3 linked regions of the Bombyx mori genome follow. The main gene of each other region encodes a partner of the protein of the gene in region 3 in a complex. Links are inferred from orthologs where the notes say so. Each region holds a gene or a part of one and is shown on either strand. Other genes may lie near its edges.

Region 1 (3,656 bases), on a different chromosome or scaffold from region 3:
TAAGGACGGCGTCGGCGGAGTGTCGTCGCTCGGAGGCTGCGCGGCGTCGGAGGTACGTCGCGATCGGATCATGTAGATCACGCATTGGTACAGGCACGCGCTTATACTTCTCTGTTCAAAATAAATATATATTTATGTAATGAAGATATTCTTTATGCACATTAACGTAGTATATGCATTTCACTTGACAAAAAAATATTGGGTCGGATTAAATTTTTTACAAAAATAACCTTTGTTCAACTAGAACATTTACGTTAATCAATTCCTGAAAAATGGATTGAAAGGTATATATGGAAGTGTTTTTTTATGTTCATTGGTCTTTCTTCCATGTCGAAACGAAGCGACGGACTGACATGTTTTTTTTTTAATTATGTGAGGAAACTGACTCCGGCAACCTTTTCATTGATCGTGAAGCCACGAATAACAACTAGTAATTTATAATCTTATCAATAATACTCACCATAATACCAAAAAGCGAATGCATGTTCTGTAAGCGCCATCTAGATTCGTATTTCACTAATTGAACTATAAGATTCAAAGCGGACGCGCATACATTTAACGAATCGATGCTGACGACCTGTCGTGGCAGGTTTATGGCCTCTATCAAATGTTCCAAGTGGACCCCGACAAATGTGATCGCGTCACTCGCAAAGAACTGACCGTGTTTCATGACCATCATGGATATAAAGTCTAAGCTGTACGAGTACACTTTCCACCACTCCTCGGGCTTCCAAGTTACGCCGTCGAATTTTGGCGGCAACAGTTGCATCCATAAAAACTGGTCGATATCGCTCAGCAAGAGCTCCTTAGAGAAAGGTCCCCGGGAGTACACAGTTAGGCACCGTAACGCCGCCAGGGACGTCTGGTAATGGCGACGGCTCTGTAAACACATCTGCAAACAGCACAGGAGCTTGTTTATGAATCGACTCGACTGGAACCACTGCGATAGTCCCGAGAACATGTCGTCGTACAACTCCAGACACTGTTCCAACATCGCCAATGATAGAACGACCGGCGATACGTCCTCGTACGTCGAGGGCTCGGTGGTCTTCGTGTCCGATTTAGGAAGATCCTTGAAATCGTCAAACAATTTCTCCAACTCAACGCTATTTAAATTGGTCACGGATCTAATAATGCTTTGCGCGGTGGCACTGTTAGCCTTTATTTCATAATCGAGACCGCTGATCGCGACTGTGCAGATGGAGAGGATGGCTTTTTTGGCCCTCGGGTGGAGGCATTCGTATATAATCGCAGTGTTGGTTAATAAACGATCGATTTGTTTGGCACTGGCTTTTCTGTTTTCAAAGCAATCGTGGCTCCAATTGGCCAACATTATGACGTACAGTTCGGCCAACATAACGACCAGTCTTCCGTCTTTCAGATCTTCGAGTTCGTTCAACAAGGCGGTCATGCAGGGGGTGACCATTTTCGCTTTGTGCGCTATATTCAAACTTATCGGTAAGGTTTTGCAAAAGATCGTGGTGAAATCTTTCCAAGAGGTTAACAATCCAAGCCAGACCGGCACTTTATCGACGGGCTCATTTTCGCTTCTACCTTTAAACGCAAATATATGGTTGATCCATTTGTCCAAATGGGTTTTGTTGGTATCAAACAATTGCTCGAGCATCAGTTTCAAAGCGTTTTCTATTTTCCCCCGAGAGACGAATAGTTCTATGCCGATAACGTTGAATATTTGCGAATAAGTTCTCAAGCCGGGCTGTATCTCACTGAAGAGTGGACTGGTCATGTAATCCCAAAATGTTGCGGTTTCGCGTAATTTTTTCACAAGAATCTGCATATTGTTCTTCCATAGAGCATGGAACAGACCCATTATGCACCCTAAGAGCGGACTTTGAAGTTGTTTCGCATCCTGAAATAATAATTACACAATTATGAATCAATCTGTAAGTAGGTACTTCTGTTTGTTTGCTGCTCTGATAAATGACTTCCAACGATGACTTATAACCTTTTACAGACTGTTAGCGTGGTATGGACATGTGACGCGTAAGAGTGGTAGTGCCAGGTAGAGAGGGAAGAGGTCGACCGAAAAAGACATGGATGGAGTGTGTGAATGACGATATGAAAGAGAGGAGTGTGTGTTGACTTGACGGCTGATAGAAGAGACTGGAATTTCGCTGTACCAACCCCACCTAGTGGGATAAGGTGGAGACAAAGAAGATGACTTACAGCCTTCACAGTTCCCAAGTACTCCGCCATATAACCGAGGATGCTTTCGTAGTTGTACAGGTTTTCCTCCTTATCTTTATCGGTTTCCTTGAGTTTTTTATCGTCATTCGTTTTTTCGTAGTTCATCATGAAGAACGCTTCAGTGAGGCCGGGCTGCGTGCCCACGCACGTGGCCACGAACTCTAGTATGGCCACTTTTAGTTCTGTCGTTTCGTACTCGTCGCGAAGTCGATCGAGGAACAACACCCGCACTTGGTACGCGGTCATGTCCAACGACGCGAACAAGGACATCTGGAAACTCTGTGTAAAAAAAAAATCATCAATTTAATTTTTTTTTTTTTTGTTAAATGGATGGACGAGCTCACAGCGCACCTGGTGTTAAGTGGTTATATTCCTTCTATTATAAAATAATATTGATGTCATAAGATAATGATAAAACCTATTGAGCCCCAAACCACTCGTAGCTTCAATTTGAATACTTATATGTTGAGAATCGAACCGGGAACCCGTGATTTAGTTTACTAACCAAATTATCAAATAATAATAACAAGAGTGTGGCAAAACTTTACAGTTTACAAATAAACTATAATATTAAATTATTATTATTTTTTCATTGTATCTAAGCCCTCGCTGCTTAATCAGTATCCTAGTTCGACCTTCGAGTTTTGAGCATGTATGTGTATGTCCTTTTTATCAAAATGAAACTTCACTTTTGCTTGGATTTTAAATAAATATAATAATACTCACATCGGCAAACATCTTCAAGAGCCTACAGCACAACACGGCCAAGCTTTTGTTGAACACGTGATTGATATAACTTGTCACTTTGGGTACAACTTTCAATGAATCCTTCTGCTTATTCTGAGTGAATATGAGATGTTCCAACGGCGTCATCTCGTTGGATCCCGTGACGAGACTCTTGAGACGCAAAGCGAACATGAGCACCGCCACGCACCTCTGTATTATCGATATAAACTGTGAACCCGTACCGGATGACCAGTTCGTTTCATTTTGTATCATGTTCTCTAAATGTTCATTTCCTTAAAAATTAAAATAAAACATATATTTTTATATTTTGTTCTCTACATATAGTAACAAAATAAATGAAAATAATTAAAATTTCAATTTATTCCGATCCGGTGGTAGATACTGCCCTGCTCTTGCAAAGGCTAGTGTTAGCAAGCCCTCTCAGGTTGTGCCCATGAGCTCAACTACCTGTCTGCGGTCCCGTGGAATATCCTTTACACCCTTACAGGGTACCAGTGAATGGATAGGAAAAAACACGTCATCTCGGATCCTCCCGATCCACTAAGGGTGCTTTTAGGTACCCCAAGCACTGGTCATAGTTTTCGTCGAATCCGTCGCTTGCGACTACGGGCTCGGCGAGTAAATTAGCCTACAGACACATTCCACTGAGTTTCTCGTCGGATCTTCTCAGTGGGTCGCGTTTCCGATCTGATGGTAGATTC
Region 2 (3,656 bases), on a different chromosome or scaffold from region 3:
CTCTGCTAAACAATCTATTATTATATAATATCCTTTAATCTACATATTAATGAACTGTAATGTATTTCTTTTATTTAAAAACAAAATATCAATAAATAAGATGTATGAGCGATGCACCTTTTGTATTTCTAGTTTGACGAGGTTCCTCTGCGGCGCCGTGGCGTTGAGCGCGGCCAGCTCGCGCGCCAGCAGCGCGTGCACCCGCGACACGCTCACGCGCCGCCCGCCCCCACCTGCACGGTTCGAGACGTTGTTGCCGTTAACCTTATCATTAACGTTTATAATATAATATTAAGTATTGTTATCACGGAAGAACCACCGAAATATTATAGCTGACAAGTTCTAATGATATAAATGTCACTTATCATTTTAATATATAAATTCAAATCTATAATGTATAGGACCTGTGGGCAGGTCACAGGATGCGATGGCCTGTCGCAGCTGCTGCGCGTGGAACAGCTCCCAGCGCGGCTCGCGCACCTCCTGCACGGCGACCGGCAGCTCCTCCAGCGTGCGGCGCAGCAGGCACCACTCCCAGTCCTGCGCGGGCGGCGCGGCGACGGCGCTGCGGCCCGTGAGCGCGGCCAGCAGCGCGGCCAGCGCGGCGTGCTGACCCGCGCCCGCCGCCGCGCCCGCCGCGCACGCGCACGCACGCAGCACCCACGAGCGCGCCGACACGGTCACGGGCGACGCACTCTAAACAATACAAACACAAATATTGCTTCGTAACTTGTCGATTCTACCGTCGCAACAGTTCAAGCTAATTCCAGTGTGAACACTTAAAAACTTATTTTTCATTACTTTTTCCAATCCATACTAATATTATAAAGCTGAAGAGTTTGTTTGTTTGAGCACACTAATCTCAGGAACTACTAGGCCGATTTGAAAAATTATTTCAGTGTTAGATAGCCCATTTATTAAGAGAGGCTATAGGCTATATAACATCACGCTAAGACCAATAGAAGCGAAGCACCAATAACGAATGTTTCAATATCGGGTTTTTTTCCCTTTTGAGCTTCCGCTGCGTGCGCTGCAGAAACGATTAAAGTTTCGCTGTAATAATGTATGAAAGATCTAAAAAAAAGTCCGCGACGGTATATGTCTATATGTTAAGGTTGGCTCACTATAACGTTTTTTATGCTAACCAAATTTGTTCTATAATAAAGCATTATTTGTGAACTATTCCACGCGGACGAAGCCGCGGGCAAAAGCTAGTCTCACATAAAGAGTCTTGGCTCCTGGCGTCGTTCCTGTGGTACAGCACTCACCCAGCCGGACTCGTGGACCGTCTTGTCTCTGTCACGTGACTGAAACAGTTTACCTTAAGGTCGACGTTGTGCTTGACGTGTCTACACAGGAAGTAGTCCCTGGACCTCAGGAAGCGCAGCGTCGGTGCTGAGGTGTTCGGCCTCGCGCACAGCCGGTACACCAGGCGGTAGCAGCTCTCGACTAAGTCGGTCGCTTCTCTGTTATCAGAATACATGTGTTGTATAATTTTATATCCATATAACTTGTATAGTTTTGACCAGAGATTTTTTAATATATATGAGCACACTCGGATTATTATCAAGTGGACGTCATTACGCCGCTTTGAAAAATTAGGCCTTTATGAGAACACATGACTGAGACATGAAAATTTTGGCAAATTTTATATATTATAATTTTTCTTTTGTTTTCTTAATGTGATTTTTTTCTTGTAAAGGAAGCATAAGTGTTTCCCTTTTCTTTTTTATTAATAATACTGAAGTTCGTTAATAAGCTTGTACACAAAATGAAAAAGAAAGTCTTAATTTTTTTTTAATGTTTGGTGTCCCCGAGGCCTTTCCAGTTTTACCAGGCCAGGAGGGGTGGGATTTGCTAACAGCTGCCCGAACGTCTCCAAAGGAGACCTATCAACTCAAAAGTAGTTGCTTCGCGAATGTATTTACTACCGGATCGGACTCGCGACCCACTGAGAAGATCCTACGAGAAACTCAGTGGCATCTTAAATGTATGAATAGCCCACTCATTGGAACCCCACGCGGAGCATCTACGCGCCGATAGTACCATGACAAAAATATGAAACGGCTCTAACAAGTCTTAGATCATAGGCATAAATTATCAACAAACAACCACACAGCTGCACAGTTTTGCATGTACATATAAGAAATTATGATTATTTTGTTGATTCGTTGTTACATAAAATCAGCAAACACACTGTCGTACTAAATGCAGAAGGTATACACGGCGCGGTCGGGCCAACGGTCCTTTGATGAATATCGTGTAGAGCAGGGGCTCTCAAACTTATTGAAGTGAAAACTTCTTTAGAATCGTTGTGATTTCAAACAGGATGCAACGGAAAAACGACAGGTAAGAGACACAAATACAAAAGAATGAGACAGAAATATACATACTATTTAATACAGCGCCATCTGTGAGATTTTTTTAATACTAACGTGTGTATGAAAGCTCTTGTAGTGAATTTTAATTTAGGATTATACGTGAAATTAAAATATCAATTCACAGAGGGCGCTACCTTACAATTATTTACTAATGACAAAATTTTACATATACTTAAGACGTTTAGGATAATTGTATTTTAATTTTGGAAGGTTTCACTTCTACCACGTGTGAATTGCACACATGTATTTTTTTTTGTTTAATGCCCACTTTGAGAATAAATTATTTTTTAGCGCTTCCATTTTTTCACCTACTATACCATTAAAGCGAGAGCTCAGTTGGTGTCTAAGAGCCCTCCTAGATGAACTACCCTACTCAACGCCCTCATTTTATTTCTGGGTCTCTTACCGCCCCCCTTTAGGCCTGCAGCGCCCACAAGGGGGCGTTATCGCCCACTTTGGGAAAAGCTGGTGTAGAGGCACCTGTTGGGAGAGTGTCCGGCGATGTGCTGGTCCAGCAGGTCCAGTATGGAGTGCAGGCAGGTCCGGGGGAAGCCCGCCACTCCCGGCTCGTGGATGGCACTCCGGGATATCTGTGTCACGAAAACATATCGCACACAATTATGGTGCTATAAAGTCTCTTATGCAATTTTTGTTACACTGAACTGAGTATGAGAAAATAAATTTTTTAATAGTTATTATTGAGACGAAAGAGATGTTTGGTTTTACTGATGAAGTTTAAAGTTGTAGTTTAAATATTATCATTTTATTTCTATAGCCTAGCAGAACTATATAAGAATTATATAATATAATCTTAGTTATATATATATTTTTGTTGTTGTTGCACTGTCGATTGCACCTATAATAATTAAGGTGACATCTGCCATGAACTTTTGTTATCAATTTGTTTGATGATCACTTTGTTGGTGCAACTTAATAAATAAATAAATTATATTTTTCTCCTGAAAAATTACATAATTTGCATAAGTGCCGTTATCGCACCGTATGTGCGATATATGTATTCACTATTCTAATGTAATGAACGGGTTAGTTGATGGGTTCAAACACAATTATCAACTCACGTCTTCAGTGAGCTGGTATCCCAGTAGGAAGTGCGCAAAGTTGGGAGGGGCCGCGGGCAGCACGTGGTGCAGCAGCGAGAGGACGCCCTCCTTGGCGCGGCGCAGCGCGGCGTCCTCCCCGCCGCCCCCGCTCCTCCACTCCTCCGCTTCCAAGCACTCCACGAACCCGTGTCTGGTGCAACAGATACTGTGACGT
Region 3 (4,300 bases):
CATCAGATCCAATAACACTTGCTTTAAATGCCTTCACCTCTAACGCTAGGAGCAGGCTTACACCCCGGTAACCGAAATCGTCGTCGTCGTCGAAATCGGCAAAGAATTCGACGTGCAAGCTAACCCATGCATCGGCCCGCTAAGTTTCTCGCCGGATCTTCTCAGCGAGTCGTGATTCCGATCCGGTAGTAGATTCATTCACGAAGCAGTTGCTCTTGAGTTGTTAGGTCTCGTTTGGAGGCGTTTGGGCAGCTGTTAGCTAATCCCAACCCTCCTGGCTGAGCCCGTGCTCACCCACCTGTCCTGGTAAAACTGGAAAGGCCTCTGAGCCACCAGTAATCCATCATTCATAAGAAAAAACCTTTAAAGACCGGAACGCATGTTTATGGACACACTCTAGAAAACTTGGATACGTTCCGTCATGACATATTCAAGTGTAGTGTTCGCTCACGCGCTCCACACTCACATAAACTCCAGGTCAGCCAATCCCGTTTCTACAAGATAGCCTTCGAAGCACATTAGTATGTAAGGAATTAACGACATCCAATTAAAACCAACACGTGAAGGTACCGTCACAACGCTTCTTCGAAAGAGCGGTGCGACGCGATAACCTTTTTATTGTGGCTGTCTTTAACTACATAATCGTCACAGACGACGGGGCACATCGGGACACTCCCGATTCACTCTCGGTGCTTTCAGACTGTCTAAGCACTGATCACCGCTCTCATCGAACTCGTCAATTAACCCATAGACACAGTCTAATGTCTTTCTCATCGATTTTTTTTGTGGGTTGCGATTCCGATCCGGTATTAGATTCAGCGAAGCACAGTTTTTGTTCTGGGTCAATGTTAGCTCGGGTTAAGCCAGTACTTGCTGGATCATGACGGAAATAGACAGTGTAATAATCCACCACCAGTAAAATTAGAGGAAGAGGCAGAGAGAATTATAAAGGAAAAAAAAATAAAAAAAGTCTTCTGTGGTTTAATTAAATAAAACCATATTTTGAAGTGACTTTTCGACATCATTGTGAAGAAGATTTTGACTTCCAAACAGATTTTAATAAATTAAACTACGAGTGTGACGTTATTATCGAATTTCATGCAAACCTAAGTATAGCCCTTTTCAAGTTCCAAGGAAGTCTGGAAGACACGTTTTATATTAATCTAAGTTACATAACAAAGGAGTTGGCATTGTTGTTACTTATGAACTAGTCTGATTTATCAATTCTTAGTTCCTTGGCATAAGAAAACAGCCTTGTTAATTCCACTTTTTAATTTTATGAGCTATGTTAGTGACTTGGGATCTCGGTCTGGCCATTGCCCTAATCGAATTTTAGCGATCTTGGATTATGTAGTAATATTTTAAAAACTTATTAAAATTTATTTGTCCATGATTTGTTTTTTTTTTCTTAAAAATTAAATTTTTAAATGGATTCAACAATCTAAGTTGAAATTGTCGATGGTCAGATCATTGTTTTGTTTACCTACTGAAGCCGATGTATTCTGCGTTTTCTTCTTAATAACAAGTATTATATGTAATTAAGTACTATTAAAGTGAACAAGAAAAGGAGAACGGTTTTTCGTGCATTTAAAGCCGCACAACAATCTTTCGATACGAACACGGTAAGATTCTTGAGTTTCCAACGTTATGTCGATTACCCGACCGATTTGTAAGATCCTAATTTGAATTGATAAAATAACAATAGTTGAGATAATAACCACGAAATTTGTGTTTATACTTGTTACGAAGTATTAGTGAAAACTGTAAATTAGGTAATTGAAATATCTTCGAAACATCTTCGTTATTTTTAATTTCTTGCTTATTATACCATCCTCAAAAACATAAATCAAACGAGTATTGCGACACTCTTAATTTCGTTTGGTTTTACCTCAAAATTGACGTCACACGTTTTGGTTGCAAAATTTTCTAATAAAATTGTGAAATTCGTTGTGCAATAAAAAGCTAATATAAATAAGCATACAGCAACAATGCTTTACGGTTGCGAGTTATCGCTATAAAGTGCAATACCAACGGAAATTCTCTAAACGTCTTGTGGTTAGGTTAAGTACTGCGTCTAAAATTTAAAATTAATAGAATTCAAATAGACACAGAGTTATATTTAAAATACGTTTTGCAATAAAAGTGAATAAATTGAAAGAATTTAATAGTAAAATTCAAAAATACTATTGTTAGAAATTCTGATAATAGTGTAGGTATTTGTATACTTTTTTCAATATTTTTATTTTTGATTTTAAAAACGACTAATCTTATAAAATATAAACTAAAATCTAATTAAGGTTAAGTTTTGTAAAATTTAAAAGTATTTTTTTTTTGTAAAACTTAGTGATATTTTTATTGTCTCTAGAGAGAAACTAGCAGTTGTCTTTGAAAACAGTAACATTGCCTTTGTAGACAGACATTCTATTAATTTTCAAACACATATAAACCGACAATTATGGCAGTCATCACGAAACATGAACTTTTGAAGTGGAATGACTGAATTATTCCTAAATGACTTTATTCTAGGCTATCAGAAACATCATAACTCCCAACTGTATGAATTCAGAGGAAAAAATTGTCTTCTCACTGACTATTTTACCAACAAAGCTATGGTCTTACTAACAGTATTATAAACTAAACACGTTGCACACTGGCATTACAGAGTCCTATGAGCCTGTATGGGTAGATACCACTGTCATGCCTGTTTTTGCTATGAAGCAGCAATATATTACGGCTTTAAGCAGGGAAAAGCTACAACTAACTTAGAACTCATCTCTCGAGGTGGCTGGCGGTATTTATGTTGTTGATGTCTAAGGGCTGCAGTAACTCCATAAAAAGGAATTCCAAAGAAACCAAATAACATTAGGCTTAGTGGTGATTAAAATTGTTGATTTGGCCAACATATTCAAATAGATAAGATCTTGGAATTATGATCCAATTTAATCTAATTATTTCATTAAATTTTTTTATTACTATACAACTGGGACATGGATCTCACGTTTTTAGGTGGGTGGTGGCATTATGTGCTCTGCTAGCCACTTAACCAAGCCAGGACACCCAAGAGAACGCTCACACTTCAATACTTTTAAAAAAATTATTAAAGGGGTTGTCGTTCTAATGAACTATTTGAAATTTATCTATAGTTTGAGAACCACACCAGCTGTAGCTGGAGCAGTTCTCATTCCTAATACCCGGAACTGTCATAGTTTTTGCCGCATACTGTGCACTATTTCTCAAGCACACAGGACATGTCTTAGAATAAGGATGTGTTTCAAACATAGCCTTTAGGATTGAAAAGTTGCATAATAATTTTGGCCATGGTTTTATTGGTTACCGATAGTGTTTTTTTATAGCTTTGATGGGTGGACAAGCTCATGGTCCACTTGGTGTTAATTTTTTTTTATTGCCTTTGTAGGCAGACAAGCATACGGCCCACCTGATGGTGAGTGGTTACCGTCGCCCATGGACTTCAGCAATGCCAGGGGCACAGCCAAGCTGCTGCCTACCGCTTAATACTCTCCACAAGCCTCATTTGAATAAACTGGTAACCTAACCCCATAAGAGATCTGCAATGTAGATGCCACCACCCACCTCAAGATATGAGTTGTAAGGTCTCAATTTGAACAGTACAATGTTGGTGAACAACACCTGGGCCCATATCTGTCTGAAATCAAAGACTATAAAAAAGTTAATATGGGAAATAAATTTAAATAATATTTTTCCTTATAAATTTCACTATAGCATGACTCATTTGTGACCTTTTACTTTCATTCTTGGAATATCTGTGTCATGACATTGATTTCATAATTGAACACACTGAACCACTGTGTAATAAGATCCTTCTACTCTTGGTCATTATATATAAAGAGTCCTATTCATAAAACATGTTTTAATTTCAAGAACATTTTACACTGCATTTTGTTACATGATAGTGTAGCCATCTGTTATTGTGTATTGCTGAAGCAAGCACCAGTATTTTGTTAATAAAACAATGTTTGGACTAAATAATATATTGTACTACTAATAAAAATATATTATATGTACCCACAAACTATAAAGTAAACATAAAATTTGAAATAATTAAACTCTTACAAACTACGAAATGAAAAGGGTACTATTTGAAGTAGCTGTATAAAAACAACTATATACCAAAAAAAATATAATAGGGTAACATAAACAAAAAAATTTACAAACTTTAAAATAAAACAAAAAGGTTTCTTTATATAAGACTGATTAATAGCAAATATACAAACTCTTATATAATTATCTTATATATATAAAAAAAAATCGTTATATAATT

What was found. The genes of interacting proteins can lie anywhere in the genome.
Region 1: nuclear pore complex protein Nup98-Nup96 (region 3) and nucleoporin Nup188 share a complex: the UniProt entries of both Drosophila melanogaster proteins name them as parts of the nuclear pore complex. The link is inferred for Bombyx mori from reciprocal best matches to the Drosophila melanogaster genes Nup98-96 and Nup188.
Region 2: nuclear pore complex protein Nup98-Nup96 (region 3) and nuclear pore complex protein Nup205 share a complex: the UniProt entries of both Drosophila melanogaster proteins name them as parts of the nuclear pore complex. The link is inferred for Bombyx mori from reciprocal best matches to the Drosophila melanogaster genes Nup98-96 and Nup205.

The regions. Positions count from the first base shown.
Region 1 is NC_085111.1:4,865,170-4,868,825, forward strand, and holds part of nucleoporin Nup188, read right to left. Parts: intron 3,228-3,656; coding exon 2,935-3,227; intron 2,488-2,934; coding exon 2,188-2,487; intron 1,871-2,187; coding exon 461-1,870; intron 112-460; coding exon 1-111. UniProt on the Drosophila melanogaster protein: Component of the nuclear pore complex (NPC), a complex required for the trafficking across the nuclear envelope. Required for proper protein transport into the nucleus.
Region 2 is NC_085121.1:1,021,232-1,024,887, reverse strand, and holds part of nuclear pore complex protein Nup205, read right to left. Parts: intron 3,633-3,656; coding exon 3,461-3,632; intron 2,972-3,460; coding exon 2,862-2,971; intron 1,467-2,861; coding exon 1,322-1,466; intron 697-1,321; coding exon 405-696; intron 234-404; coding exon 118-233; intron 1-117. UniProt on the Drosophila melanogaster protein: Plays a role in the nuclear pore complex (NPC) assembly and maintenance, but with limited role in NPC permeability. Required for specific nuclear import pathways such as Mad import.
Region 3 is NC_085117.1:3,515,465-3,519,764, forward strand, and holds the start of nuclear pore complex protein Nup98-Nup96, read left to right. Parts: upstream 1-1,441; 5' UTR 1,442-1,622; intron 1,623-1,656; exon of another isoform or gene 1,657-1,772; intron 1,773-1,903; exon of another isoform or gene 1,904-2,209; intron 2,210-4,300. UniProt on the Drosophila melanogaster protein: Part of the nuclear pore complex (NPC). Required for MAD import as part of the Nup107-160 complex and required for nuclear export of Moe probably via its association with Rae1. Plays a role in nuclear mRNA export.